Linked DNA regions of Drosophila melanogaster. The protein of the gene in region 2 interacts with the protein of the main gene of each other region in a pairwise test. Each region holds a gene or a part of one and is shown on either strand. Other genes may lie near its edges.

The links.
Region 1: the proteins of CG9356 (region 2) and CG14232 interact in a two-hybrid assay, tested with the Drosophila melanogaster proteins (2 studies listed by BioGRID).

What each region holds. Positions count from the first base shown.
Region 1 is NC_004354.4:19,700,610-19,716,964, reverse strand, and holds CG14232 (uncharacterized protein), read left to right. Parts: upstream 1-12,705; 5' UTR 12,706-12,826; exon of another isoform or gene 12,827-12,902; 5' UTR 12,903-12,946; coding exon 12,947-13,076; intron 13,077-13,134; coding exon 13,135-13,562; intron 13,563-13,767; coding exon 13,768-14,232; intron 14,233-14,291; coding exon 14,292-14,711; 3' UTR 14,712-14,977; downstream 14,978-16,355. Other genes in the region: meso18E, read left to right, coding at 5,018-5,020, 7,816-8,813, 9,361-9,429, 9,501-10,092; CG14230 (uncharacterized protein), read right to left, coding at 10,623-10,789, 10,852-11,959, 12,026-12,315, 12,377-12,554; Tcs4 (Threonyl-carbamoyl synthesis 4), read left to right, coding at 15,237-15,421, 15,477-16,355.
Region 2 is NT_033777.3:9,402,670-9,419,024, forward strand, and holds the start of CG9356 (uncharacterized protein), read right to left. Parts: upstream 1,601-16,355; 5' UTR 1,569-1,600; intron 1,510-1,568; 5' UTR 1,371-1,509; coding exon 174-1,370; intron 105-173; coding exon 1-104. Other genes in the region: BBIP1 (BBSome interacting protein 1), read left to right, coding at 1,878-2,108; CG8135 (uncharacterized protein), read left to right, coding at 2,250-2,420, 3,067-4,392, 4,453-5,040; CG44261 (uncharacterized protein), read right to left, coding at 5,180-5,476; betaTub85D (beta-Tubulin at 85D), read right to left, coding at 5,984-6,931, 6,991-7,383; Task7 (TWIK-related acid-sensitive K[+] channel 7), read right to left, coding at 8,088-8,361, 8,417-8,817, 8,872-8,933, 9,000-9,155, 9,219-9,348; alpha-Man-IIa (alpha-Mannosidase class II a), read left to right, coding at 10,025-10,138, 10,192-10,721, 11,054-12,526, 12,761-13,823, 13,920-14,069.

The DNA.
Region 1 (16,355 bases), on a different chromosome or scaffold from region 2:
TATGTATGTATGTACAATACTACATATGTGGGAACATGTGTGTACACTTGGAACAAAGTCAAAAGATTCAAAACGTTGAAAAGGAATATCATATCATTTATTCAAAACGACACATAACGAATATCAAATCTATCAAAACTATAAATTACCTAAAATGCCAAATATTTTATAGTTATGTTTTCTAAATACACAAATACATAAGTTCACTGCGTTGGGATTTGTTCTGATATATAAGGATCAATATCTCTTGGTTTGATTTGCTTCATTCAGAATCAACAAATATCCAATGCTACTAACATATATGCATATATTTTCTTTCAACTAATTTTTCCCAAATAGAACTGATCTGGGGGATCAATAAGCTATGGTACATACGAAATCATTCGAGTACCTAGAGTAAAATGGTTTATTCACATCCTGTTCGATTGAGGACGTGGCAGGTCGATTTTGTTAAGTGTGTGCCATGGACTGACAGATGTTCGGCTGAGTGAGTGCATGTGGCCGATTTACATGGGCTCGGGGATGCGATGCCTTTACTTTACACGCTGCCACAGCACCGGCGGCACCAAGATCCCAATATATCGAGATCAGCGGGGAGCGTTTAACAACGAACGTTGGCGTTTTTCGCCAATGACGGCCAGCGACGAGAGTACATAAGATTTATAGTTGCTATTTTTAAAAGCGGCGTATTAAGAACCGTAGGCCAGCGACCAGAAGCAGTCTACTACTACAACTACCACCGATCCGGCCATAAGAAGTAAGGGGAGCTCCTCATGCGCTCCTTTCGTGGTCTTTGAATCGGGATGGGTTGTTGAACTCAGCCAATTTGAGTGAAAACGGGAGCTAGTCATACGATGATGTTTCAAAATGGGCAGGTAATGAGAGATTGCATTCAATATCACTGCAATATTGCAACAGACTTAACATAAAAACAAAGGAATACACATACAACATAACTCTGACAATAAAATTATAATGTAAGAATAGAATAAGAATAGAGTAATATATTTCTTGTCTACTTGTCAATTTAATGGGCGAAGACTAGTAAATGCATATTTAATAAACGCCGAGCCCCTTTTTCGTGTATGTACATATGTATGTATGTTCGCATGACCTGCTGCTGGTCATCAACCGATCTGAAAGATTGAAAGATACAAGCAGCCGAATCAGATATCTTCGATCTTGGCTTGCGCAAAGCCCCGACCGATTTTATCCAGTCGAAGAGCAAATATTTTGATATGCATTGAGTGCTGCTAAGCACATGCAGATATATGCACTAATGTCGATCGGACGAGTGTCTGTCGACAAATTCGAATAGCGTTCGGTCGTCGTTATTTGGATTTGGATTTGGGCTTTGCTCGCCCACCTTTGAGACCTCTGTTCGCTTGTCGATTTTCATTGATTACTATTTGCCTGAATCACGTGTCGATACGATACGATCCAGTACGGTCGATCGATCGATCGATTGATCAACGATCGACGATCGACGATCGACGACGAACGCTTCTTTCCGTGGCATGTGGACATGGATAGCGCCTCACTCTCGTTGGAAATTGGAAAAGAAATCGGATTGAATGGGGCTGGGCGGCGTTGCTGGGGCCGTACAGATTTTAAACACGTCCCCACCGTTATTTTTAATTTTAGTACACATATACCACACGGCGGCGAACACACACAGAACACAGATACTCGGATACAGATACAGATACAGTCGTAGCAACGCATGCTCTGGCAACGATCGTATTCTATTTGTAATCCAAAATAAGTGTACGTATCTGTGGCTGTATCTGCATCCGAACTATGTGGTTCGCTTTACGATCTCTCGATGCCCACTCTCTTTCCCACTTGACTCGACTCGACTCGATTCGAATCGACCTGGCAGACGAACGACGACGAACGCTTTCCGTTGAAATCTCTTCTTTGTGCTCCGTATCGAGAGTCTACTGCCACAGCTCCTGCTGCTGGTAGAGTACAGCCTGTATCTACCATATGAAGCTAACGACACTGGCCAATCTGGAGCAGCAGCTAGAGGCGGGAAAGATCCCAAAATGGTTTTCGGGCGCAGAAGTACCGGAGCACAAGCACGAAAGCAAGTTGCTCAGCGGCGTAGCTTCGATAATCTCAGCTCGAAATAACAAAATACAGCGTTTGGCGGGAGCGGGGTTATCTCCGACCCAATGACTTATCACTGTAGCTGTTGTCCGTAGCAGTTGGTCCGTAGAGTCGACTCGGTTTCGATCTCGAAAACCAGAGCGCCAAGCAACCATCTTTAACAATAGGACTTATTTTTGATTAGAACGGCGAACAGTAGACGAACATCACTTTTTCATTCTAGTGCGACTAATCGAACTTTGTTTTTTTTTTTTATTAACAACTATTTTAATTATATTCTTAATTATTTAATAGATATTATGAACACCACTAAAAGGAAGTGTACAGAAAACAAAGCTCTGCCAACTAATCTAGAATTATGTTCGACTTGATTCGCTGAAAAGTATACAAAAATGGCCGTCCATTTGCACAAAGTACACAGAACTATAGGAACTATACAAAGCAATATATTAACACTTACTAACTTTTTAAATAAATGATTCAAATAATGTTTTAAAGATGAGTTAAGTAGATAAATGACCTTATATGCAAGTTATGTCAGACAACTTTAGATATGTAATGAAATTTACCAGCAGATGTCGCTCTTTTCTTTAAAAGAGAGAAAAATTAACTAACGAGTAACGGGTATCTGCAAGTCGCGACATTATACCCGCCTGTTGGTTTCCAACTATTGCAAAACTATAAAATACAAGATCTATTTATTGTGTGTATAAAATCAAAGCTTATATGTAACCAAATAACTTGCTTACAGTCCTTGGATATTACTTTGTTAATACGAATGCCTAATTGATAAGCCTTTAATAGTGACGATGGAATAAATTAATAATGATATATAAATTGAAGAATTGCAGACAGATTGTATGTTCTATTTTCAAACATAGATTCCACATTCTAATTTATAGTAGATGATAACGAAGAATAGGTTGGAATACTGCGGCATTTAGTATCCTGTTGCGTTTTGGCCAGTGCTCAAGATGCTGTTGCAAAGAGACGGCAAACAGAAGCAACGCCAAACGTTTGCATCCATACCACATCCACATCCACTTCCACTTGGGGTGCCCATGCCCGCCATACTGCACAACATACTCGTATCTATTTTTAGGCTACGACTTTTCCCATTTGGCCCTTCATAGATCCACATAGGTTCACCTCCGTCCTATGCCATACCATACCATCTCCTACCATTCCATCCGCATCCGAATCGTATCGAGTCGGGTCGAGTCGAGCCGAGTCGAATCGAATAGAACCGAATCCAAATCCAAACCCGAACACAGGCACACGGTAGTGTGCGTGATCTGTAGAGTAGGAATCGGAATCGGAATCGGAGTAACTGCTTCCCTCTTCGGATCGTGGGCATCGTTGGAATCATGCTTGCTCTGATCGGATGGATCTGCTGTCTCCGCCTTGCTCCTCTGCCGCTGCGACCGCCACCGCCACCACCACTGCCTCCTCCTCCTCCTCCCTCTCCTCTTTCGACGTAGTCTCTGTCTCTGCCCGAATCTATAAGTAGACACACTTGTATGTACACGTTCGTGTATACATATATATTTATATACCCGAAGTCCGTGTGTGTGTGCAGAACACATGTGCACCCCAGAAGGCATCGCCATCGCCTCTCCGCCGCAATCTACCAGGTTAGAGCAGTGTTCCGTGGTGTTCCGTGCCCGAGGAGCGATCGTCCGCCTAACGATCGTAGCGGTCCATATGTATGTGTGTGTCTATGTGGGAGCTCACCCGTCTGTGTGCGTGCGCGCATGGGTGTGTGCGCGACTGCCGTTAGTATCGGCAACGGGATCGCAAGCAAAAAGTTCAGTTTCAGTTTCGTTGTTGTTTGGTTTGGTTAGTTTTAGTTGGTTAGTTGGAATCTCAGGACGGCGGACTACGGAGAACGGTAAATCGCGTGCAGCGTTGTCCGGAGGAAGAGAATTGCGCTCGCGTTTTCTTTCCACCTTTCTTCTCCACTCTACTTTTCGCTCAGTGCAAATGCAGGTCAGCGAAAGCTTCTCGTGCGTGAGTGATGGAGAGAGCCCAGAGAGTGGCGGTGTGAGTGAGAGCGCGTAACAAGGATGAATGACAGAAAAAAGAACAACAACAAGTGAGCAGGGACGCGCAAACAATAACAACAACTGCAACAGTAGCAAATAAAAGAGCTTTGGCGGAAAGAATAGTGGCAGCTCTGCATAACTGTCAAAGTGCCCGCCAACTGTAAATGTTCGCACGGATATTCGTGAGTGAGAACGCAGAAAGGCACATGTGCATCTGATTTCGTGATTTGTGTTTTCACTTTTTTTTTGTGATTCTTTTTTTTTTAGTTTGTTTTTTTTTCGCGTTTTCTGTCGACGTTGCCGTAGCCGATGAGCCGCCGTCTAAGGCTAAAAGGTTAACTTCTAAATATTAATAGTCGTTGTCGGTTTGTTGTCAACAACAAAATTCGAGTAACGTAAAACAAAATACAACAAAGAACAAGTACGTTCGTTGATTTCGAATTCGATTTCGATTTTGTTTCGGCTCTTGTTTCCGTTTCGTTATTTTGTGGTCTAACAAATGTTGTTTTTGTTGTGATTCGATTTTTATTATTTTTTTAGGCACACACACGCACAATCGCCACGCTCTAGACGTTAAGTGTCACAAAGGTTACATTGCGTTCACACTAGTTACATTTGAAATGCAAACGCCGCCAGGCCAACGCAGCATCCGCAAAAACAAACACAAAAACATAAGCAATAACAACAACAACAACAACGAGCAGAGCCGGAGAGTCCACAATTGAAACACTCGAAAGAATCTGCAGCGGATCGGAGAAGAGGATAGCAGCAGCAGAAATTAGACAATATCACCGTCCAGCATTGCGCCTGCTCAGCAGAATCGGGCCATCCAGAAGCTGCTGACACCACAGAATTCCCAAATGGTAAGCAATGTGAGAGATTAGCTTCCAGGCAAATAGCGCTGCATATCCAAGCAGTGGGGGCGAGAAGATACATGCATATACATACATACAGTTTGTCAAGAAACTGTTTACACACTGTAAGATAAGTTGAATTTTTGACTTTAAAGCTAAAAATAAAGGGTTTTTTGCTTAATTAAACGGAATTTTTTTATAAAATATAATTAAACAATATTTATTTTACTTATAAATCAAAAAACAAATTAAAAATATTAAATATACAAGAAAATAAACAACAAATTCCAAGTTTACACACTTTTGGGACTGTCAAGAAACTCTTTACACATTTTGTTTTCCTACTTTGTTTTGTTCTTTTTCTTAGAACGAACTCGATTTTTCCGTTATTTTTGGCTTTGCATTGCTTTTTACAACGCTTCTATTGAAATTTGTTGACTTTGCTTGTGAAATTTTGCTGATCAAACGTGCTTAAAGCGAATTATTAAATTTAATAAAATGCCTGGAAAGAGATTAACTTTTAAAGTTACCCAATTAATAAACTATAACCACCAGTTGGGAAAATCTTTTCCAGAATTAGTATAAATGTTTCCTGTATCCCGTAAGACCGTCTACAATGTTTTTAAAGGCTCGGAAAAAGAGGACAGGCTTGAACTTAAGAGTGGTGGTGGGCGGAAAATTAAAATTAAAAAACGTGTAGACCGCTTTATTATGCGAATAGTGATTGCGAACCCCCGAATCTCGGTCAGATCACTTGCTCTGGAAATCAGGCAAGAATGTCACCTAACTGTGTCACACGAAACTGTGCGCCAAGTCATCCTACGCCATAGGTACTCTTCAAGAGTTGCAAGAAAAAAGCCTTTGCTATCAGAGATCAATATTGAAAAGCGTCATTCATTCGCTGTGAGCATGATGGATCATGCGGAAGAGTACTGGGATGACGTCATATTTTGTGACGAAACAAAAATGATGCTCTTTTATAACGATGGGCCAAGAAGAGTATGGCGCAAACCGTTGAGTGCGCTAGAAAAACAAAATATCATTCCAACGATAATATTTGGAAAAATGTCACTGATGGTTTGGGGCTGTATCATCAGCAGTGGAGTGGGAAAACTAGCCTTAATTGAGAGCACAATAAATGCCGTGCAATATCTAGGAATCTTAAAAAACAAATTTGAAGGCCAGTGCAGAAAAATTCGGTCTAGTTAGCAACAACAAGCCAAATCTTAAGTTTTACCAGGACATGATCAGAAACAAAGAGTGGAATGTACGCACCTGGCGCCTTTGTAACTGTGGTAAAGTGATCGATACGCCCCCTCAGAGTCCTGATCTGAACCCCATTGAAAATTTGTGGACCTACTTAAAGAAGAAGGTGGCAAAAAGGGACCTAAAACACAACAACAGCTTATGACTGTAATAGTCGAAGAGTGTGAAAAGATCCCGTTTGAATATGACCTGCAAAAACTTGTCCAATCCATGAAAAAAAGGCTTCAACTTGTAGCTAAAGCCAATAGGGCACATACTACATACCAAAACTTTTAAAATTTTAATAAAATAATTTTAAAATTTAGGATTAAACTTTGATTTAGTGTTTTGTGTAAAGAGTTTCTTGACAGTCCCAAAAGTGTGTAAACTTGGAATTTGTTGTTTATTTTCTTGTATATTTAATATTTTTAATTTGTTTTTTGATTTATAAGTAAAATAAATATTGTTTAATTATATTTTATAAAAAAATTGCGTTTAATTAAGCAAAAAACCCTTTATTTTTAGCTTTAAAGTCAAAAATTCAACTTATCTTACAGTGTGTAAACAGTTTCTTGACAAACTGTATGTACATATAGTATGTACATGCATGTACATAGATTCTCCCAGATACGGAAGTGCAGCAGATCCGATCCGAACGCCACAGCCTCCGCACGGATCGCTATCTGCGGTAGTGGACAATCCGTGAATATCTGCGAAACAAATTTCGCCGCGCTTAGTCATCATCGGCAGCTCATCTCTGCCGCGGGAGGAAAGATTTCGTAGAATCTAGACGGCATGAATGAGCTTTGGCCATCAGCACGATGATGCACAAAAACTTCTGGTCAAGATCATAATGGCATGTCCATCTATGTATCTCTTGGAAAACTCAGGAGATATTATCGATGTTTTGAGCTAGAGATATAGATAAACATAATCTTACTGATTTTCTTGGATCTAGTAGACAATGTTTGTAGTTCATATATTATATGGTATATTTACATACCATGCGTTTGAAATATACAATTGAAATGAAATATATGTATGTGTGTACATTGAAATAATTGTGACAAACTTTAACTGCACAGATGTAGCTATTTATAAAAGATTTATGTAAATACATATAAGTATCTGCATATGTTTTGACCATTAACCGTAATAAATTTATTAAAAAATATTTATGATTATTGATATCAAAATTAATATATATATATTTATGATATATACGATACATCGGTCCATAGTTATTTCTAATTATTTAATCATTTATTTTGTACATTGGATTGGATTATAATTTACCTACCATATGAATCATATTTAAGATGCCTTATGTATGTACATACATACATACTATATAAAAATCTTAACGAAACAACTTGGTTTTTATGAGCTTTTCAACGTTGTAAACGCCTGTACGATTTATTAACTATTAAAACTAAATAATAATAATGAATTTAACACATCACTATTATCATCATATCTATATATTTTTTTTTGTATCTTATTGTTAGTAGCAATTGTTTCTTATTTTCCTTAAATTATCCTGTTGGATATCCTTGCAGGATACGAAGAATCCCCCGCCGGTGACGAGCAGCTATCACCACCAGCGGGCGCCGCGGACGCCGGAATCGTACTTCAACGTGCCGGAGTCGGTGGCCCTGCTGAACATCGTCAAGTCGGAGCGCATCCAGAGCGCGTTCCAGTCGAACCGAAAGAACCATGCCAGCGTGTGGGAGATGGTCGCCGAGGTGCTCAACCGCTTCAGTGCGCGGAAGCGAACGGCCAAGCAGTGCTGCAATCGGTACGAGAACCTCAAGAAGATCTACACGCAGCTGAAAAAGAATCCCGAGCGCCATGTGCGCCGCAACTGGCCGTACATGTTCCTCTTCAAGGAGATCGAGGAGCAGCGCGGCGAGTGCTGGGGATCGAATGGCAAGCGTCTGGCGCTCATAACCAAAAACCACAACGAGCTATCCTACTACCAGCGCCGACGGCAGGCGGCCGAGCTGGGAGTGCTGCTCAACAAGGACAACCTCACCCCGCACCAGCACAGCCTACTGCAGAGCCTCAGCCAGAGCCAGAGCCAGAGCCACTCGCACGCCCACTCCACGGACTCCTCGCAGAGCGGGAGCAAGCTGGACCGCTTCCTGCCCAATCACTTTGTGGAGGCGCAGCTCAGCGAGGTGGCCGGCCCGGTCGGTGGCTCCGCATCCGGTGTATCCGGCATGTCCGCCGGCGGCTTCGACGAGAATCCCCTCCAGATGCAGATGGTTCAGGCAGCTGCTGCCGCTGCCGCCGTGGCCGCCCATAAGCGACATGAGCTCCAGATGGCCAGCGTTGGCGGCGTTCAAATGACGCCCGAAGACGACGACGAGGATGAGCCCCAGCGGCCAGCATTTAAAAACCACCTTCACGTCCTGGGTCATGGCCACGGCCTCGGCTTGGGCCACGCGCCAATGGACGACTCTGGCGAAGCACCCGACTTCGAAAAGGACTGCAATGGAGCACTCAACATGCACCACCAGAACAACAATCACAACGAGAACCACATATCAATGAAGTGAGTAAAAGTTGTAATAGATTTCTGGTAAACTATGTAATAGACAGAGGAAGGGTTTTCAATCTCCAAAATATAATTGTTTATAGGCTCTTGTCTGTCCGTCGATATTTCCGTAACTAAATCTCAGAACGTTGCCACGCCCAGTCTTACGCCCACCAACAGTTTCGCAATCAAAAGACAAAAAAGTTCGTTGCAAGATTGAAAATCGTAGTGAAATTGAGAATATAGATTACTTTATGTTTCTTCCATTCAATTTAAAGATGTTACTTTAAGTGTAAAATCTAAATTTCGATGCCGATTCCGATCCTCTAGGGATTACTTACATATACTGCAAACTACAAACCTAAAAGATACTTCACTTCACTGATAGACTGACTTCACTTCATCAAACAAACAAAGTTAAGAAATAAATCCTTTTTACTCAACAATTATCAGTTCAAAAGTAATGGTGTCCATTTAATTGTTAATGGGGAAAGTCCAGATCGATTATCGGGTTGCCCCGTTCTCGAGATCCCGCCTAAGACTCTCGCTTCTCTGCCGCCCACAGGTCGGAGCCACTTTCGGAGGGCGAGTTCAATCCGGACGACATCCAGCTGATGCAGACGAACTACAATGGGTGAGTGCCGGCGGCGACGGAAGCCACCTTCTTCGAAACCGATTCCATTGATCAAATCCATGCTTGCACAGAGCGCAGAACTACTATTCGCCGGGCATGGATGCGAATATACTGCACCCCGATGTGATCGTCGACACGGACATCCTGTCCGACTGCTCCTCATCGACAACGCTGAAGAAGAAGCGCAAGATGTCCACCTCGACCGACGGCGACAGCACCAATTACGAGCTGATCGAGTATCTGAAGCGGCGCGAGAAGCGGGACGAGGAGCTCCTCAAGCGGATGGATGCGCGCGAGGACCGGCTGATGAACCTGCTGGAGCGCACGGTTGTGGCCATTGAAACGCTGGCCGTAAAGCGGGCACTTACGTTTCCAGTTAATCCAACCAAAGAGAACGCGCCAGCGACAGCCAGACCGTTGTCTCCGCCACCACCAGAGGCTCAGTTTGCAGCGCCGCCAGCTACGCAGGAGCAGCCCACCAGTCCGGAACGCAACGGCATTGCGACAGGCAGGAGCGGCACCATTCCCGTCGCGAATCAGGATGCCGCCATTGAGGTGCCAGACGACGGCGATAGCGGTGACGATGTTCAGGTGAAGGACAAGCTGGCCAAGCTGACACCAAAGGCTGGCGGCGATGAACGGACGGATGGCAGGCAGACGTAGAATATAATGCATCCACTACTCGCTAGATCTACTTAAGACTTCTACCTACATACATATATATATATATAACCCTTCCCTACCGCCACTCCTCTCACCGGATGGCGGCAGAGGATACAGTGCCAAAGAAGAGCCATGTCTCGAATTTCAGTTGAGATTGCCATTTTTACTTAGAGAGCCTACACAAGTGCTTAGCGGACGAATGAAACTTAATTGCAATGTTGAATATTAAGCGCCGCAATTTTTGTTGAAGCGATAATCTTAATTCACTTAATTAGCTTTTAGTTAGGCGGAATCCCACCAGCGGATGCCGAATGAATCTCAACAGAGCCGGATTCACACCGCTACGATAATCTAGTTGGAGCTGCAACGGGGCTCAAATGCATTTGTGCAGTAACTAAAGCACAAACATTTCATTTTTTTTTTTTGTAATCTAGATGAATACATGTACCATTTACAAAAAAAAAAAAGAACAATATTGGTTTATTTTACACAGGATTATGCTTAAGACTAAGGGTATAATTTAACCTAGATCAGTTTTTTCCCTTTTTATTCCGCTGCAGCTTGATATCCTTGCTGGGCAGGCTCTTCTTCGCCTTGGCGATCTTTTTGGTGATCAGCAATTTCAGGCGGTTCTTCACTTGGTCATATTCGGCATGGTCAACCACCGCCTTCGTGGACTTGAAAAACTTGGCGCCCTCTGCAAAGAAAAGACGATCGCTTGTTGAGAATGAAAAAATACGCACAGATTCACGTTCTTACCCTTGAGACGAGGATCGTTTCTGGGTATGAAGAAGGACTCCAATTTGTTTTTGTTCCTCTTTTGACCCGACTTCTTCGCTGGCTGGGCCTTGTTCTCCTTGCTGACCTCAAGCTCCTGCTCCTGCTCCTGCTCTTGCTTCGGCTTTACTTCGGTTTCGTCTTCGCTGTCGGACGAGTCGTAGGAGAACGGATTGAGAGTGGCCAGTCCGAGCTTATTGGCAGACGTCTTGCCCACCAGGATCTTCTCATGGCCCAGCTTCTCCAACTGGTCCTGGCGCTTGGCCACCTCCTTCTCCGGTGCACTGCCGAACATGTCCAGCAGGCTGAAACCCTCTCCACGCGTGTTCAGCGAATCCCTCAACGTGTCGGTGACAATGTAAAAGGCCGTCTTCGAGACGGCTGAAGCTTGACTGTTGCCCGCGTCGGCGGTCTTGGCTTTCGTACTGGAAGTCTCCTCCTTCTTCTCCTCCTCCTCCTTGGGCTGCTTTTGGCGCATTAGCTTCTGATGGCCCTCCTTGGCCGGATCGAAGCGCAGCATCTTTTTGTTCTTTGGCGACTTACCGTCCTTATCGTTCGCACTGGTGATCGCGTGTCCCACAACCTGCTCCAGAATGTTCATGTGCCATTTGCGCTCACTCTCCTCCGGCTCAGGCTGATCCTCCAGCTCCGCCTCTTCCTCCTCGTTCACAAAGTTCGATGTGATGCGGAAGCGGGGATCTATACTCTGTTTGCTCTGCATCTCCACCAGACGCTCGCCCTTCTTGCCCTTATGCTGCGGCAGGACGATCTGCTCCTCTTCCTCATCGTCGTCGTTCTCGAACAGATCCCGCTTTTGTATCTTGGCTTTCTGGACGGGCTTGGACGCCTCCTCCTCCTCGGCGTCGCTGAATTTTATTCTCTTTGCCTGACTGCCTTCGACTGATATCACAGATAGCGCCTGCTGGATGGCTGACTTCTTTTGTTGGTGTCCCTGACGCATCTTGTTGAGCGACTCCTTGCGCTTCTGTTCCGCCTGGCTGACATTGGCGTCCGGCTTCTGTTTGGCTGCCTTGCGGTGCTGTTCGATGACATGGAGTGGCTTCACGTCGTGCTCCTGCTGGATGACAATCTGTGGGAAAGGAAAGGAAAGGAATTTAGCTGACAATGAGCTTGGGAACAATGAGTGCGTGCATACCCGGCCATTGTGCATGGAATTGGCGGCGCGCTTCTTGGTAATCAGCAGCTCTGGAGCGACCTCATCATCACCAATCTCCTCATCCTCTCCGAATACCCTGCGCTTGTTTTGGCCACTTTGCACCAGGAGCTGAGAGCTCGGCGCACGCACCTCGGACTCGTCTGGCTCGCCCTGTTCCCGGCGCTGGTTCTCTTCGCGTTCGCGCTTCAGTCGATCCAAAAACGATTCTTTGGCAAGAGAAACTCTTAGCTTTTCGCCGTGCAACTTCTGCCATTTGAGCTCGTTGACGCCTACAAAACCAAGCTATGGTTACTCCTTCCGTCTGGCTGTGATCTTCCGCGGATAACTTACAGTACTGGGCATCATCCGTCTGCACGGTGACGAAGGCAATCACCTTAGTGGCCCCATCCTGCTCCTTGCGCTTCAGATCCACGTGCTCTACGTGACCGTAGTCCTGGAACAGGATCTGCAGGTCCGACTCCGAGGTCCTGGTCGGCAGATCCGCCAGGAAGAACCGAGTGCTGCCCATATTATGTTTACGCTTGCAATGCACGTGTAGAATCCAAATCCCGGCAAGAATTGCTGTGGGCCAGTGTGACCGCGGGCAGATAAAAACTTACACTTAAATATAGCCACAATTCCAATTCCCAATTGCTTTATACAGGTTTTTAACAAGTCCAAGCAACACTAAACCAGCTTTCAAATTTATTTAGCAACTTTGTAAATAGGCAAATACATTAAGTTAGACAAAAATAATCCCCATCGGTCAGTGTTGCAAGGCGAGCAATACAATTACTTTAGGTGCGCAGCTGGCTGGTCACACTGGCAGCAGACGTCACAATAAATTCTATTATTTTGTTTTGTTTTGTGCGAAAAGTTTGCAGGCCAGCAATCGTGGACTAGCCCACAAACAACGGCAGCATGGCGAGCGGGACAAGCGGCACAAGCAGCAGTGAAACGGCCCAGTCGACGGACATGGCACCATCATCGGCCGAGAAGTGGGGCTTCCCTTTGATTGAGCTCTACCGCCTGGCATTCACGTTCTACAAGCGTAAGAGCAGAGATCCCGGCACTAGCGCACCAATAACGGCTAATCTCACATATTGCAGGGAACTCCGGCAAGGCCATCCACTTGTCGTACGAGGACAACCTCAAGCTGATCGCCTTCAAGCAGCAGGCGGCGCTGGGCCCCTTCAACACGAGTCGCGCCCCGGCGCTGGGCGTCCTGGACGTGATCGGACGCGACCGGCAGCAGCACTGGCAGCTGCTCGGTGAGATAACGCGCGAGCAGGCGATGGAGGGGTTCGTCGACCTGCTGGACACAATGTGCAGCGCCTTTCGGCCGTACATTGAGGCCGTGCGGCAGGACCGCGACGAGACGCTGCGCAAGGAGCTGCGCCTCATGGAGGAGAAGAAGGAGGCACGCGAGCGGCAGGAGAACGCCCAGCAGGAGCTGCTCGAGGAGGGTTACAAGGAGGAGCTGCAGCGCCGCCAGCTGCAGGACGCACTCAACAAGCAGACTTACCAGCAGTTTAAGGTAGCCCATCGATTTTTTCAACAACACACCGGCCCGGCCCTCTGCACCTGTTGTTGTGCTAAATAATGCATGATAATTACTGGGTGCTCGGCCTTGGCTGCGCTGTCTGCCATTGAAAAGGGGTCATGACCCAGTTCTCAGGCAATTGCATGCCAGCTCCTGTACCATTAACTTGGCCCTTCTAACGCTTACACTCGTTCCACAGCTGTACGCTGAGAAGCAGTTCCCCGGAAACCCCGAACAGCAGGCCGTGCTTATCCACCAGCTGCAGCGGGAGCACTATCACCAGTACATGCAACAGCTTCATCTGCAGAACCAGAACCAGAATCAGAATCAGAACACGGAGGACAAGGGACACCAGGAAGCAGAACACGTCCCTGGCAATAACAACAACAGCTCAACCGACTTGCCCAACGCCATGGAGGGACTGAAGCTCGGTGAGGTCGAGACACAGCAGCACCAGCAGCTGGCCGAGCAGCAAGACGGGCATGTAGAGCAGACGTTGGAGGGCGTTGGGCAGGAACAGCACGGCGAGGAAGAGTACGACGACTACGTTATGATCTGCCCGGCCAAGATCTGGACTCGTCCCGACATCGAGCAGTTTAAGACTGAGGTGTCCGCCGGCGATGGGGACGGCGTCATCACCATTGGACACGGCGACACGGTGACGGTAGGTGGCAATCAACTAATGACGAAACAAGGCCCATATTGACCGGCACAATTTTGCAGGTCCGTGTGCCCACCAACATGAACGGCAAGTGCATCTTCTGGGAGTTCGCCACGGACAGCTACGACATCGGCTTCGGCATCTACTTCGAGTGGGCCAAGCCCGTGACCAACGAGGTGACCGTGCATGTGAGCGACTCCGACGAGGACGAGGATTGCGTGGACGAGGACTACCTATCCACCACCGAGGACCTGGAGTCCGGCTCGCTGTCGCAGGAGCGCGGCGCAGTTAACAACCCGACTGCTGCCCCCAAGGCACCCATTTCCATTATCGTACCGATCTATCGACGGGAGTGCTACAACGAGGTCTACGTGGGCTCCCACTCCTATCCGGGCGAGGGCGTCTATTTGCTGAAGTTCGACAACAGCTACAGCATCTGGCGCAATAAGACGCTGTACTACCGCGTCTACTACGAGCGTTAAGAGGCCAAAATGTATTTACTTACCACTAACTTAGATGAATCCTATCTCCGTACGAACGGCTAATGTGCAAGTCCGGAATAATCTGTATGTGCGTGTGCGTGAGGTTTTGGTTTTACGTGTGCGTTGCTGCAATTCCGGGAAACAAGCGGCGGGAAAAGACCATGCCGATTTCAGACTAAACCAATATTATTTATTATTTAGTTGTAACCGACGAAGACAAGTCCAAAATTCAATTTGAAACTAATAAACAATATAAAGACAACTGTAAATAATCACTTTTCGAAATCTCTTTGCTTCTTAATGAAGAATAAATTATTCGTAAAATTCACTTAGGAAACTTCTTCATACGACACAATTGCTATTACCAATTTTGGGCATTGAAACAACTATTATTATTATTTTATATTAAATAAAAATTGCATTAAAGTATAGTTAAGAATTTGGCTCGTGTAAGGGGCCCTAACACTAACGGTCCCACGATTTGCTGGTTGTGGTTTCTATCGGTGCCTGGTCACACTGGCCATTATGCATGCACTTCGTAATTTTGCCGGCAATGGAATAGCAAATGTATTTGGCTGTGGGATCAGGCGCCGGCTCAGCTATGTCCTGGGCATCGAGACCTCCTGCGACGACACGGGCATCGCCATCGTGGACACCACGGGCCGAGTGATTGCCAATGTGCTGGAGTCGCAACAGGAGTTCCACACCCGGTGAGTGCTCACATCTCCGCATGCGGTGCCCAATGATGAACTGAATCGATTGCAGCTATGGAGGCATTATTCCGCCCAGGGCCCAGGACCTTCACCGCGCCCGCATCGAGTCCGCCTACCAGCGCTGCATGGAGGCGGCGCAATTGAAGCCGGACCAACTGACGGCCATCGCGGTGACCACGCGTCCCGGACTGCCGCTGAGTTTGCTGGTGGGCGTGCGCTTTGCACGGCACCTGGCCCGTCGCCTGCAGAAGCCCCTGCTGCCCGTTCACCACATGGAGGCGCACGCGCTGCAGGCCCGCATGGAACATCCGGAGCAGATCGGCTACCCCTTCCTCTGCTTGCTGGCCAGCGGCGGCCACTGTCAGTTGGTGGTGGCTAACGGCCCCGGTCGCCTTACGCTTCTTGGCCAAACACTGGATGATGCGCCCGGCGAGGCCTTTGACAAGATCGGTCGGCGACTACGCCTGCACATTCTGCCGGAGTACCGCTTGTGGAACGGAGGACGGGCCATTGAGCATGCCGCCCAGCTGGCCAGCGATCCGCTGGCCTACGAGTTTCCGCTGCCACTTGCCCAGCAGCGGAACTGCAACTTCAGCTTCGCCGGCATCAAGAACAACTCCTTCCGGGCCATCCGAGCGCGCGAGCGGGCAGAGCGGACACCTCCGGACGGAGTCATCAGCAACTACGGCGACTTCTGCGCCGGCCTGCTGCGCTCTGTCAGCCGGCACCTGATGCACCGCACGCAGCGGGCAATTGAGTACTGCCTCCTGCCGCACAGGCAGCTCTTCGGTGACACCCCGCCCACACTGGTCATGTCCGGCGGTGTGGCCAACAACGATGCCATATACGCCAACATCGAACATCTGGCCGCGCAGTATGGCTGCAGGAGCTTCCGTCCATCGAAGCGGTACTGCTCCGACAACGGCGTCAT
Region 2 (16,355 bases):
TCGGATGCAGGTGATTGCACGTAGTGGGGTCGCTGGGCCTGGTCGAAAAGTGCTCGTATGGCTTCATCGGTGGCCATCAGGGGCTGACTAATGAATTCCAAGGCCTGGTGGGACGGTAATAAGGTGTACCATTAACTGGATGTTTGAATCACTTTAACTATCGCTGTACTTACCCTAACCGCGTACTTCTCCGCCTCACAAAGTGGACTTGTGCTGGCGCTGGACAACTTTAGTGTCTCCTCGGGAATGCCCACGCCAGTGTGCAGGACCATGCGTTGGAGAATGTTAAGGTTTTCGGCACTTAGGCTGATTACATCGGTGGCGGGCAGGTTGAGGAAACGAATCTTGGCCAGGAACTTCAGTTGCTTAAGCATATCTAGCTGAATTTCGCGGATCTGATGGGTGGCATGAAGCAGTTGCTTCGTTGACTCGTTCAATAGCTGATTCTTCTGCGTGAGATCGGCTTTCCAGCGGGCTAACTCCTCAACCATAACGCTGCTGGCGAGGAATTTGGACCGCCAGACCTCACACTGGCCGGCCAGGAACTCAATCTGCTCGGTGTGGGTGGTCAAATTGTTGGCAGTGTCCAATAGAGCTCTGGCCAGCTGTAGTTTGTCCTCGGTGAGGAGATTAACCCGTGTCTGCAGATCCTCGCCCACGGAGGCCACCAGCAGGCTCTTCAGCTCGCTATTCACCTGCGTTTGGAACTTATACTGGGCTTGAAAGTAATTGCGTTCATCGCGCATCTTGGCCAGCTCCTCTTTAAGTGAGTTTACCTCATGGCTACTGGCTGTGTCTGTTTCTTTAATATCCGTTGTCTCAGTCTCCAATTCCTGTGTGCGCAGCGTGGACACCTGATCCACCAGCACCGCAATGTCCAGGTTGTTCTTATCCCGATGGATTTTGTGTTTATTCGTTGGCTCAGAGATCATGGGATTCACGGCACCCGGATATGGTTCGTAGGGCACGAATTTGGGCGCCTTGGTCTTCTTATGTTCGGGCAGCGAGTCCGCGCTGGTGACCAGTCTTGGCCGCATCTGGACCAGCTCCCCCTTGGGCACAACGGGCGCCAAACTCCGGGTGACGTTCTCGGGTCGTCTGTACAGGGTATGCAAGCCAGGAAGGGGCAAATTTGAGGAGTGGCCGCTACTAGTTGATGTCTTCCTGCCCATGACGGCCTCCTGGACAACGGAGCTGTCTTTTCGCGATAATTGTGGCCTCTTTACCTTGTTGTCCACATCAGCACTCGCTGGGATTTCGCTCTCTGTTTTGGCCGCTCCACTGTTTTCCGGTTGCTCCATGCCATCGCCGCTGGTGCGACAAGCTTGGGATTTGTCCGTTCCTGGCATCGCACTTTCATTCGCTTCCATTTCTGGGCAATCTTGGCCAGGCCAAATAAAATTTTCCTAATTTAAGAATTTCTTTTGCTGTGCCAGCAAAACAAAAACATTGACCAAGGGCTGCCAACTCGCTGCAAAGAAGTTTTGTGTTTCTAGTGTTGGTCAAGACCTAAATGTTTGAAACTATCATGATTATAAAAAAGCATTGTTAATTAGAAATTTATTTGCCTTTAAAAATGCTCTCCTACCCAATAAAATGGGTATAAATAAATAAATTCCCAAGTGAACACCACAGTCCAGTGTGACCAGAGCATGTCAACATGAAAACGCACGTTACACTTCATTTAACAGTGCTGTTCGGCCCACCCACGCACACGTTCACACTTTTTGATAAAGTCGATTGATTTGATTGACCGAGAAAAAAAAACAAATAAACACAACGAAGGTGAACTGGTACCGGCGTAGTGAAGATACCACCAACGCCAGCTCCCAACACATCCCGGCCACGCCCCCCGACCGCCCGCGGAGCTCCAAAGGATGTCCTCAGTGGAGGCCGAGGTGCTGCAGAAAATCGATCTGATTGAGCCCACAACCGGAAAATTGTTTTTCGAGCACAAAACGGAGCTGCTTTTCTGCCGGCCACATCTGATGCCGCTAAAGACGCAGGCGCTGGAACGCCTGGAGGAAATGCATCGGGACACCGCTCGCCAATTGCAGAAGAAGCGCCAGCAGAAGAAGAAGTCCACGGAGCCCACAGGCTCGCTATGAACCAGTCCTTAATCGCAGAAATACATTTGTTATAAGCACATACACCCACACGCACGCACCACAAATACACAGAATCACAGCAAAGCACAAGAACTGAGTACACCCGTACCAGGATCGGGATCGGGATAAGCACTAGTCACAATGGCGTACCTACTAAGCTTTGGCATCGTGGCCGCCCTATTCCTGGCCAGCATCTCGCTGTACCGTTACGGAAACATACCACGTCAGCACATCCTGGTCACCCTGTCCGTGCTGACCGCCTGGTGTTTCTCCTTTCTAATTGTATTCACCATTCCGCTGGACGTGACATCGGTGAGTTGGAATGTGAAGCTATAAGACCATTTGGAATAGAATATAGCCGCAATAGGAAACAACAGAAAGCTTAAAATAACTTAATAAATAGTTGCATTAATATGATTTTGTAGATGTGCATATATAGTACTTTTAAACGTGCAAATGCTTCTGTCCTTTCTGCCATATGTTGTGGTTTTGTATATGTTTTGTATATGTTGCAGGTAAAATATATATTCCAACGATCATAAATATATACAAGACTAGAACGACTAGAAATTATAAATATTTAAAAACACGTTTCGTTCATAAAGAAGTAATCTTTAGATTTCCATTTCCATCAAAACACAGTTTGTCGCATTTTATTGCATGTGAAACGTTAGTAATTTTTAAACAAAACTTAAATTTCGAACGGAAATTAATTAACTTTTTATCTAAAGCTTCGCCGACACCATTCAAATTGTAAGCATACATTGATTTTGGTCTGGAATTTCTTATCTGCAAATGAATCACCCCTAAAGTTAGACAACAAAAAACCCGAATTGATTATAGAAACACAAATTAACCGCTTTCCGGCTTTGGATATACCCTATTGTCATTTGGTTATCAACTCCTTCGATTAGAGCTAATAACAATTAACAATCAAATTGTATAATTGCCATTTCAGACGCTTTACCGGCAGTGCGTGGAGGAGCACCGACCGACCCCAGCCCCAAATGTGACCAACACGTCGAGCGCCACGGTGGGTCCGCCGCCTCAGTGCCAGGAACCGTGGGGCATGGTGCCCGCCTCCGTGTTCCCAAACCTCTGGCGCATTATTTACTGGAGCTCACAGTTCCTCACCTGGTTGATTATGCCGCTGATGCAGTCGTACCTTAAGGCGGGCGACTTCACCGTCAAGGGAAAACTTAAATCGGCACTGATAGAGAATGCCATCTACTACGGTTCCTACCTGTTCATCTGTGGCGTACTACTCATCTATATTGCCGTCAAAGGAGAGTCTCTGGATTGGCAAAAGCTCAAGGCAATTGCCTCGTCCGCATCGAACACATGGGGATTGTTTCTGCTCATCCTGTTACTGGGATATGCTCTGGTGGAGGTACCTCGATCGTTGTGGAACAACGCCAAGCCGGGATTTGCACTGCAATATGCCTACTTCAAGGCAGCCAAATTGAGCACTGAGAAGGCCGAGGCTGAGGAGCATGTGGATGATATCCTTGAGTCGCTGCAAGGCCTTAGCCGCGTCATACCCAACAATCACGAGTTGCGCCCCTGCCTGGAGACCATTCTGCGCAAGGTTCCCATTGAGCTGCAAGAGCGAGCGAGTCGAAACTTTGCGCGCACTGGAGGCAGCGGCATGGGTGCCACGAGTTCCACTATCTTGCCTTCGGAAAAGGCGCTGGTTCGCATTCATAAGCAAGTAATCAAATCGCTGCAAACATTGCAGCGCACCGAAGCGCTATGGAGCGTGCAGGTGCAGACAGTGCTGCATCTGGAGGATGTGGCCAAGAATATACACTCTTCGGACCGGCGCTTCAAATCTGAGTTTCCGCGCCAGCGCACGCAGCTGGAGAGGATCTGCTACAGCGCCTCGCTGCAGTGGTACTGGGAGTGCCTGCTAAAGGCTCCGTTCCTCAAGACCATGTGCGTTCTGACCGCCACCATGTCGGCCATGGTGGTGTGGAGCGAGCTTACCTTCTTCAGTCGCCACCCTGTGCTTTCCATATTCGCCAACGTTATCTACGTGGCCAAGGAGAGCTACGACTTCTTTACTATTGAAGTCTTCTCTATGGTTGTTCTATGCTACTTCTTCTACTGCACTTACTCCACGATCTTGAGGATACGCTTCCTTAATCTCTACTACCTGGCACCGCATCACCAGACCAACGAGCACAGTCTGATCTTCAGCGGCATGCTGCTGTGCCGTCTGACACCACCCATGTGCCTCAACTTCCTGGGTCTCATCCATATGGACACACACATTATTCCCAACGTGAGTAGTAAACATGTTCGTAAACACTGAATTACTGAAAATTTATAAACTATTCCTCAGCGCATTATGGAGACGGTGTACACGCAGATCATGGGCCACATGGATGTTATTGGCATCATCTCGAACGGCTTCAATATCTACTTCCCAATGTGTATGCTGGCCTTCTGTCTGGCCACTTGGTTTAGCCTCGGCAGTCGGGCACTGAATGCTCTCGGCTTCCAGCAGTTCCTGCAAAACGAAACTATTGCTACCGAACTGGTGCAGGAGGGAAAGGATCTTATAGCGCGGGAAAAGCGCCGCCGCCAGCGTGCCGAGGAGGCGATGGCCAGACGCCGTGACTTCAACCGAACCGATCAGGTTCTGGGCAGCGATTACTTGAGCAAATACCGGAGTGGTGGACCCGGTGGACTAACCAGTAGTCGCACGCCCGCCGACGGGCTGCTGCGCGATGGCGACGGCAGCTTTGACTATGCGGCAGTGGCTTCTTCCTCTGCACTGGGCGTACCGCGATCCCTGTCGGAGGAGATCAACGACCGTTTCGGTGTGAGCACTCAGGTGCAGGTGGGATTCCGAGACCCCGACTACGAGGCGGAGACAGATGGTCGAATTGTCGGCCCACCACCCCGAGGACTCTTCGACGATGTCTAGACTTTGGATATGGATAACTCTTTATTTCAATTCGTTACCGAGTATCTCAATATTTCGCTCGCGCTTAAGTATTTCCCGATGCCACTGCTGCTGCTGCTGTTCCTTTACACCCATGTAGACCATTCAGTTGAATAAACCACTAAAGAGGATTCTTATCCATCTTTCGAAGGGAGTAGCGCGGTTCGTTGCTGCTCTCCTGGCTAGTGTCCAGACCACTATCCGTGCTGGTGTCCTGCGCCTCCACGTTCATCGAGATGTCCGTCTCCGATGAGTAGCTTGAGCTGATTGATTCTTCTAGATCAACATTTGTGCTATCCTGGTCGTCTTCCGACGTCGGTTTTCCACTCTGCAGTTGCGATATGGGATGCGGATTTATGCGCTTTCGGCCGCGCAGATAGCCACTGCGAGAGGTAACTGGAGTAGTCGGAAAATACATCTTGGTGCCTTGACTTCAATGACTTGAATGACTTGAATGATGACGGCCTGTCAGAAAGGAAAGCTGTCACTTTCGTAAGGCAACTCTAAAAAATGATTGCCAACAAAATATAGATTTTCGATATTGAGCGCTTAGCCTCAAATTCAATTCAATCCAGAATATTTATATATTAATGTTTAGGTTTATGCAATGCCTTTTGAACGGTATAAAAATATGCAAAATGCTGTTGGTAATCTTGTCTGCTTATAAATCAACATTTATTCGTAACCCAGAAATCACAGCAATTGCAACATGAGCTTAACAAAGGTGGACATATTTCTTCTGTACGTGTGTGAATGATAAATAATCGAACAGTGAAGAATCCATATAGGAAATATGTACAACCGACGGGCCTCGAAGCACAATATGCTAAGGCCCAAAGATCCAATGTGTTGTGCCTTCCTAATGGGTTCCCCTGCTAGCCTGTTTTGGTGTTCATGTGTGATCTTGAGTGGGAAGTTAATCCTATTATTCATCGCCGCCACCCTCTTCGTCTTCATCGAATTCGCCCTCCTCATCGGCAGTCGCCTCCTGGTACTGCTGATATTCAGAAACCAAGTCGTTCATGTTGCTCTCGGCCTCTGTGAATTCCATTTCGTCCATTCCCTCGCCGGTGTACCAATGCAAGAAGGCCTTCCTTCGGAACATGGCGGTGAACTGCTCCGAAACCCGTTTGAATAGCTCCTGAATGGCGGTGGAGTTGCCAATGAAGGTGGCCGACATCTTGAGACCTCTGGGCGGAATATCGCACACCGCTGTCTTGCAGTTATTCGGGATCCATTCCACGAAGAAGCTGCTGTTCTTGTTCTGAATGTTGAGCATCTGCTCGTCCACCTCCTTCATGGACATGCGGCCACGGAAGATGGCGGCGACGGTCAGATAGCGACCATGTCGCGGATCGCACGCAGCCATCATGTTCTTGGCATCGAACATCTGCTGGGTCAGCTCCGGAACGGTAAGGGCCCGGTATTGTTGCGATCCTCGCGAGGTGAGCGGTGCGAATCCGGGCATGAAGAAGTGCAGCCGGGGGAAGGGTACCATGTTCACGGCCAGCTTGCGAAGATCAGCGTTCAGCTGGCCAGGGAAGCGCAGGCAGGTCGTCACACCAGACATGGTGGCCGAAACCAGATGGTTCAGGTCACCGTAGGTGGGCGTGGTCAGCTTCAGTGTGCGGAAGCAGATGTCATACAACGCCTCGTTGTCGATGCAGTACGTCTCATCGGTGTTCTCCACCAGCTGATGCACACTCAGGGTGGCATTGTAGGGCTCCACCACCGTATCGGACACCTTGGGCGAGGGCACCACCGAGAAGGTGTTCATGATGCGGTCCGGGTACTCCTCGCGGATCTTCGAGATCAGCAGGGTTCCCATGCCGGAGCCAGTGCCGCCACCCAGCGAGTGGGTCAGCTGGAAGCCCTGTTGGAGAAAAGTAGGGTAAACTTTTTCAGATAAATTCCCAAACCCCCAAAACTTACCTGAAGGCAATCGCATCCCTCGGACTCCTTTCGCACCACATCCAAGACGGAATCCACCAGTTCAGCACCCTCGGTGTAATGACCCTTGGCCCAGTTGTTGCCTGCTCCCGATTGGCCAAACACAAAATTGTCCGGCCGGAAGATCTGGCCAAAGGCGCCAGAACGAACCGAATCCATGGTGCCGGGCTCCAGGTCCACGAGAATTGCGCGTGGCACATACTTGGCACCGGTGGCTTCATTGTAGTATACATTGATGCGCTCCAGCTGGAGATCACTATCGCCGTAGTACGTTCCGGTCGCATCTATACAGTGCTCATCCGAGATTACCTCCCAGAATTTACCACCGATCTGGTTACCGCATTGACCGGCCTGAATGTGTACAATTTCACGCATTTTGATAGTAAAGTTAGGGCCCCTTTTTCACACCGAAAAAATGGTACAAAAAAAAATCGAGCTTTTAAAACAGTCTGAGTGGGGCAAAAATCGGCAAAAGACTGAATATTTAAACGTATAATTTTTCAGGTTTAGATTTTAGTCGTGTACGTGCTAGCTGATACTGAGGTGAACTGAACCTGGCTTGGATTACTACACCGAATGTTCACAAATAGGCTACTACGATTTCCGACTTCGACACATTTCACACACCCCGATTTCAGAAAACTCAGTTCTCCGTTTTGAGCACAAACTTTAATAGTACTTACATAGATAAACGAATATACGGCTAAAATTCGAGATGGGATGGATTTGGCGGTGCCTTGGAAGCAATAGAGGATTCCAAGGCTACCGACCAGATGATACGATTGATATTGACATGGATGTCCTGGATTTTACTCCTTTGTAAATGTTTATATGGGTGTATAATGGGATGGGTCGATTATTTCTTAAGCAAAAACTGCCTTTTAAAGACTATTAACCTTGCTCTCCAAACTTATATGTATTATGACCCATCCTGGTTTAAAAATCTACGTAGGGAGGAAGGTTTGTCTAACAACCAAATTTTGGCGGCGGATGGTTCTCTACAGGATTGTAACTACGATTTGGTGATCCATTGGCTCTGGCTCCTACAATGAGGAGTCCCACAGCTGGCTGTACGGATATCAGACGGAGGCTCGCTTCAGGCACAAGGTGCTCTCGATAATGTCGGTAGGCTGAAAGTCCGGGTCCACGAACTGCTCATGATTCAGGCACCTGGTGCCACCCATGCAGGTGCAGGAACACAGGGAGGCGGTCTCATCGTTCTCCGTTGTGTAGTTGTTCTCCAGCAGCTTGCCGTGCATATTGTACGTGGACTCATCATCGAAGGTCACCGGCTGGGCATTTCCAGCCAAGTTCTGAGCATCCTGCTCATCTCTCTTGGCATCCTCTGCTTGCCTGTGATTAAAAATCCATTAAATAAGATATTTCCTGCAATAGAACATGGACTCACATGGTCATGAATCGGAGCACCAATAGATTGATACTGGCGGCCACCACGGCCAAGCCGAATAGGATGAAGACCAAGCTCAGCGCCACATAGCCAGGCTTATTAGTTAGAGCTTGGTCGTTCTGCAATGCCACATAATCGCCGAAACCAATTGTCGTCAAGGTGACAAAACAATAGTAGAAGCTATCGAAGTAGCTCCAACCCTCGTATCGGGAAAAGACTGCTGCTCCAGTGGTGATTATTATGGAGGAGAGCATTCCGGTGGCCAACATGAGATTCATTTCGGTGGCATCCGTACAGCGAGCTCCACTGGCTCTCTTTGCCCGCCTTATTATCACGGATGCAAACTTATTCAGACGTTCTCCGATAGACTGGAACATCACCAGACCCAGCGGGATGCCCACCTAATAAGGGAATATCTTTAGAAGACTGGAAATTGGGATTGTAAGTTCACTTACCATAGCATAGCCCATACAAAATGCTTTTCCCGGAATTGTAACTGGCGTAGAATGACCATATCCTAAAGAAAGTTACAACAGAATTATAATCTATTCAATAAATCATATTTAATAGATAATTAATTTACCTATCATTGCCAGTACAACCGTGCTGAAATAGAAAGCTCCAGCGAATTTCCACTGAGGTCCGGCCTTGTGGGGCTTATTTTCAATGATGACGATTTCCATCACACGGAAATCCTCGTCAGTCACATTGTACTTTCTAACAAAGTTGTTCTTAACGGCTACAATTGATTAAATAAATTCATTACTAAGAAATTAGGTTAATAAATCAACAAGCTTCTCACTCTGTAGGAATTCCCATCTTTTGGCCTCCGTTGGTGACTCCAGGGAATCGAACACGGCGGCTCCAATTAAAAGATAGGTGAAAGTGCATACCACCAGGGAAAGGGTACGGACATTCTGTCGCTTCATCATATAGTCTCAAATATAATCACTACGATCTATAATCAATTAATATATTTTGCACCACGCGCCTTTTTCGTTCAGTTAAAGATGCTGCGTCTGACAAAATCGATAGTTGTCAGCAAAACAAACACACAGCATCCGCCAAAAATGGTTGATTTCGGTTACAGTGGCCGAATAACATATGATACAATGAATTTTAAAAATTTCATCATTCTTTAAATATGTAATAAGTTTTCTTTTATCTATTGATTTGACCGTTAATCTCAATAAAGGATTGTGATTTTACCGTTAGTTTATCACAACAGAAGCAACAGAATTTGATGGCGTTGCCACTTGGCGGTATCTGTTAACTCTGTACAGCTAAAAAGCTGTAATGTCACGATAACTAAGGATAATAATAATTTTTTTAAAGGATCAATATACACAAACAACATAAGAGTTTTATTACATTTTCTTTAATTGCCTTTAAAGTTTTTGTCTTTCTAAGCCATTTTAACAATTTAACATTTTGCAGTTAGCAGCGCCGATAACTTGACAGCCTATCGATTTTCGGGAAAAGCAAACATATCGCCAGATCTGATTTGTTTATGCTAAAAAAAAACCACGCAAGTTCCAACCGATTGGATTGTTGCAGTTGGCTGCTGTGTCTCTGACGTCGACGTTTCCATGCTTAATTAACCGGAAAATGTTGCGAATACGTCGGCGGTTCGCTTTGGTAATTTGCTCCGGCTGCCTGCTGGTTTTCCTCAGCCTGTACATAATCCTCAATTTTGCGGCGCCGGCAGCCACCCAGATAAAGGTAAATAAATGCTTCTAAATCAATTCGAATGTATAATAACTTCTTTATTTTAGCAGCCCAACTATGAGAACATTGAGAACAAGCTGCATGAGCTGGAAAATGGTTTGCAGGAGCACGGGGAGGAGATGCGGAATCTCAGGGCGCGTCTTGCCGAAACATCCAATCGCGACGATCCAATAAGACCTCCACTTAAAGTGGCTCGTTCCCCGAGGCCAGGGCAATGCCAAGATGTGGTCCAAGACGTGCCCAATGTGGATGTACAGATGCTGGAGCTATACGATCGCATGTCCTTCAAGGACATAGATGGAGGCGTGTGGAAACAGGGCTGGAACATTAAGTACGATCCACTGAAGTACAACGCCCATCACAAACTAAAAGTCTTCGTTGTGCCGCACTCGCACAACGATCCTGGATGGATTCAGACGTTTGAGGAATACTACCAGCACGACACCAAGCACATCCTGTCCAATGCACTACGGCATCTGCACGACAATCCCGAGATGAAGTTCATCTGGGCGGAAATCTCCTACTTTGCTCGGTTCTATCACGATTTGGGAGAGAACAAAAAGCTGCAGATGAAGTCGTAAGCATGCTTTCCCTATATAGTATTGATACAATAATGAATAACGGTAGTTAACCCACAAAACAAAGTGCAATGCCATTTTGCTATTGCATTCCATAAACCTTACACAGTTGTTATGTGCAGCAGTGAAATATTTTACTTCGTTATTGCGTCAAAAGCGTTTAGATAAACAAAATGCATGATCACGCTGCTTGTTTTCCGAAACAGCTTTGTACTTATCTACCTAATATTTATAACCCAAAGCAGAAATAGGAATTGATAAGCTTTGCAGTCTCAACAACTACAATATTTAGTTTTTAACAAAAAATAATAAATTATTTACTTATTTACAGCATTGTAAAGAATGGACAGTTGGAATTTGTGACTGGAGGATGGGTAATGCCGGACGAGGCCAACTCCCACTGGCGAAACGTACTGCTGCAGCTGACCGAAGGGCAAACATGGTTGAAGCAATTCATGAATGTCACACCCACTGCTTCCTGGGCCATCGATCCCTTCGGACACAGTCCCACTATGCCGTACATTTTGCAGAAGAGTGGTTTCAAGAATATGCTTATCCAAAGGACGCACTATTCGGTTAAGAAGGAACTGGCCCAACAGCGACAGCTTGAGTTCCTGTGGCGCCAGATCTGGGACAACAAAGGGGACACAGCTCTCTTCACCCACATGATGCCCTTCTACTCGTACGACATTCCTCACACCTGTGGTCCAGATCCCAAGGTTTGCTGTCAGTTCGATTTCAAACGAATGGGCTCCTTCGGTTTGAGCTGTCCATGGAAGGTGCCGCCGCGTACAATCAGTGATCAAAATGTGGCAGCACGCTCAGATCTGCTGGTTGATCAGTGGAAGAAGAAGGCCGAGCTGTATCGCACGAACGTGCTGCTGATTCCGTTGGGTGACGACTTCCGCTTCAAGCAGAACACCGAGTGGGATGTGCAGCGCGTGAACTACGAAAGGCTGTTCGAACACATCAACAGCCAGGCCCACTTCAATGTCCAGGCGCAGTTCGGCACACTGCAGGAATACTTTGATGCAGTGCACCAGGCGGAAAGGGCGGGACAAGCCGAGTTTCCCACGCTAAGCGGTGACTTTTTCACATACGCCGATCGATCGGATAACTATTGGAGTGGCTACTACACATCCCGCCCGTATCATAAGCGCATGGACCGCGTCCTGATGCACTATGTACGTGCAGCAGAAATGCTTTCCGCCTGGCACTCCTGGGACGGTATGGCCCGCATCGAGGAACGTCTGGAGCAGGCCCGCAGGGAGCTGTCATTGTTCCAGCACCACGACGGTATAACTGGCACAGCAAAAACGCACGTAGTCGTCGACTACGAGCAACGCATGCAGGAAGCTTTAAAAGCCTGTCAAATGGTAATGCAACAGTCGGTCTACCGATTGCTGACAAAGCCCTCCATCTACAGTCCGGACTTCAGTTTCTCGTACTTTACGCTCGACGACTCCCGCTGGCCAGGATCTGGTGTGGAGGACAGTCGAACCACCATAATACTGGGCGAGGATATACTGCCCTCCAAGCATGTGGTGATGCACAACACCCTGCCCCACTGGCGGGAGCAGCTGGTGGACTTTTATGTATCCAGTCCGTTTGTAAGCGTTACCGACTTGGCAAACAATCCGGTGGAGGCTCAGGTGTCCCCGGTGTGGAGCTGGCACCACGACACACTCACAAAGACTATCCACCCACAAGGCTCCACCACCAAGTACCGCATCATCTTCAAGGCTCGGGTGCCGCCCATGGGCTTGGCCACCTACGTTTTAACCATCTCCGATTCCAAGCCAGAGTGAGTAGCCAGTTAAAGATTACCCATTTATCAAAGGAACAAGAATCCTTTCCGTACTTTCTGTATTAATTGTACATTTTCGTAACACGTTTCGCTATGCCGTTTCCTTAAACCATTATAGAGTGCAGGTTTTATTTATTGATATTAATATTTCATTAACCAGATGCCGTAATTGTCTTCTATTTATACTATTTATTTATACTTTTTCAATAAGCATTTCAATGTTACTTACAGGCACACCTCGTATGCATCGAATCTCTTGCTCCGTAAAAACCCGACTTCGTTACCATTGGGCCAATATCCGGAGGATGTGAAGTTTGGCGATCCTCGAGAGATCTCATTGCGGGTTGGTAACGGACCCACCTTGGCCTTTTCGGAGCAGGGTCTCCTTAAGTCCATTCAGCTTACTCAGGATAGCCCACATGTACCGGTGCACTTCAAGTTCCTCAAGTATGGCGTTCGATCGCATGGCGATAGATCCGGTGCCTATCTGTTCCTGCCCAATGGACCAGCTTCGCCAGTCGAGCTTGGCCAGCCAGTGGTCCTGGTGACTAAGGGCAAACTGGAGTCGTCCGTGAGCGTGGGACTTCCGAGCGTGGTGCACCAGACGATAATGCGCGGTGGTGCACCTGAGATTCGCAATCTGGTGGATATAGGCTCACTGGACAACACGGAGATCGTGATGCGCTTGGAGACGCATATCGACAGCGGCGATATCTTCTACACGGATCTCAATGGATTGCAATTTATCAAGAGGCGGCGTTTGGACAAATTACCTTTGCAGGCCAACTATTATCCCATACCTTCTGGTATGTTCATTGAGGATGCCAATACGCGACTCACTCTCCTCACGGGTCAACCGCTGGGTGGATCTTCTCTGGCCTCGGGCGAGCTAGAGATTATGCAAGATCGTCGCCTGGCCAGCGATGATGAACGCGGCCTGGGACAGGGTGTTTTGGACAACAAGCCGGTGCTGCATATTTATCGGCTGGTGCTGGAGAAGGTTAACAACTGTGTCCGACCGTCAGAGCTTCATCCTGCCGGCTATTTGACAAGTGCCGCTCACAAAGCATCGCAGTCACTGCTGGATCCACTGGACAAGTTTATATTCGCTGAAAATGAGTGGATCGGGGCACAGGGGCAATTTGGTGGCGATCATCCTTCGGCTCGTGAGGATCTCGATGTGTCGGTGATGAGACGCTTAACCAAGAGCTCGGCCAAAACCCAGCGAGTAGGCTACGTTCTGCACCGCACCAATCTGATGCAATGCGGCACTCCAGAGGAGCATACACAGAAGGTGAGCTTAGAAGTTTATTATATTAATATCAAAGAAAGTGGAAATGGTATTTATTTATAATTAACAATATTGTTTGACTAATTGTTCGTTCGTCAGCTGGATGTGTGCCACCTACTGCCGAATGTGGCGAGATGCGAGCGCACGACGCTGACTTTCCTGCAGAATTTGGAGCACTTGGATGGCATGGTGGCGCCGGAAGTGTGCCCCATGGAAACCGCCGCTTATGTGAGCAGTCACTCAAGCTGATCGCAACGTGTTATGGCAAAGGATAAAGCAGAAACTGAAGCCAAGCGACCATCTCACAACCTATGAATCTCGGACGCTAATCCACTGCAATACAGGCAATCTTCGTTTAATGTTCGACTTAAGCACTGACTGCACCGAAAGACGTAATGCGTAATCCATACTACGTATCATTTATTTATTCAAGCTTCCACACGAGGGTTTGGAAATTCAATCCTATGACGCAGCGGTGTATTTTTCGCACCCCCGTGTAACTACACGTTTTACTCTGTTTCCCCTAGTTTTTTACGTTTTTTTGTGATATCCATCCAGTCCCACAGCAAGCAATACATGTCTGTACTCGATATCCCCAATGGGGTTATTGCCTATAACAATGAATCGTAACTATAACTAACGTTTAACTGTAAAGTAGGCTTAGTGATAATGACGCAACTGCAATGATATTAATCTCGACGTTTGTTTTTTACAAATTGAATAAAATTGAGTCTCATTTAGAATCGACTTTTACGTGCTATTCTAAACTAAAAACATAACGACTGTTTTTATTCGAAAAAGGAAAGGATTTGTATTACTATTCAAAATCGTCATTTAGGCTTTAGTTAGAATCGTGTTGTTGGTAAGTTATGAATGCACTTTCTATGAATATTTAATTTTTCTCAGTAAACTAAAATAAATACATTTTAATTTAATTTTTAACATTACATTTAATTTTTTTTTTAATATTGTAAGTAATGAATGTTAGTAAACAGTTGATCTTTGCATTATTAAGTTTTGAATTTATGTGGATTATGAAACGAGCTTTTGAGACGACTAATTAAAGCCATAATCATGAGTTATAGTTTTAGTGGATGAAAAACAGAATGCAATCTTATCAGCTCCAGTGCGGGGTACTATTATTGCCAGAATGACCTACAGAGATAGAGATACTAAGAGCGCGGAATTGGAAAATGCACAATGGAAATGGAAATCCGGATTGAGTGTAAAGTGGTTGTTTTGGATAGAGAGCGAATCGCTGCGCAGTTCGCTCTCTTCAAAATCCGAAACGAGCAACGAAAGCAAAACCGAATCCGAATCGGAATCCGAATTCGTATTTGTATCTGTAAGATACGCTCTCGCGCTCTCTTCAACGACGACCATCGGAATTTTTCTATACAGAAACAAAAATCTCAGTCAGCTCGCTGTTTTCAAGTTTGGAATCCGCATTTCAGTTCAGTTGGATTCAGTCACAGAGTCAGAGCGTCAGATTCAGATCATCGTGGTCGCCAGTGAGTTTGTTTATATGTTTGTGGCTGCCTGTGTGTTTGCTTGTCAAGTTCTGCAACAAAAACAAGGCATCTAAACAAAAGTGGTTCAAAACAATTACGAGGAATAAAATCCAACTAAAACGAATAATAAAACACACAGTGTCGCTTAAATCGCAGAGTATCTGCAGCTCTAGTTCTTGTTGTTGTTGTTTTTTGAGGCGGACTGGAATTTAATTTAATTAAATCAAGTACGAATGTGTGCGTGAGTGTGTGTGTGTGTGTGTCTAAGCTGGGTTCTTGAGTTGTTCTTGTTCTAAGTTCTTTTTTTCGTGGCGTGTATCTGTGTGCGCGTGTCGTGTGCTGGTTTGCGTGTGCTTTTTGTGAACTACGTTTTGTTTCAATGCCAAAAAAAAGTATCTATGCCCTGGCATGTGCTCTCTCTCCATCTCTCTCTCGCTCGCTCATGCTGGTTACATAAATACTGGTAGAAGAAGTGGAAGAGATGGTGGTGAAGAAGGAGGAGGCGGAGGTAACAGAAATTGAAATACAAATTCAATTAACACCTGAAAACGAAAATCCAACTGGAACGCAAACGTCTGATTGGATAAGGAAAATAGAAAACGGGCAAACATGTGTTTGAATTTCCAACTCGTCTTCTTCTTCCCGTCCCTATGAAATGTTCAAAAGCAAAGCTCCTTGAAAGAGGAGGGTATAAAAGAATGTGGAAAAGAGCAGCAGAACCAGAACGAGAACACCAAAAAAAGAAAACGAAATTAACGACGTCACATAAAAGTGTGTCAAAGCAGCAGCTCACGCACACCAGCGTGCGCCAATTTGTATCTGTGTGAAGCTTTAGCTCTCTCCCTCTCTCGCACCGTCCCTCTCATTCGCTGATAAAACGCAACGCACACAGCGCGTATACATAATTTATATATTTATTTAAATGTTTTTCGTTTGCTCGCTTCGAACAACGAGTTTTTCTCGTTCTAAGACTGTCGCCTTTTATTTCTCGCTCCATCTTCCGATTTGAGCTCTTTTCAACATA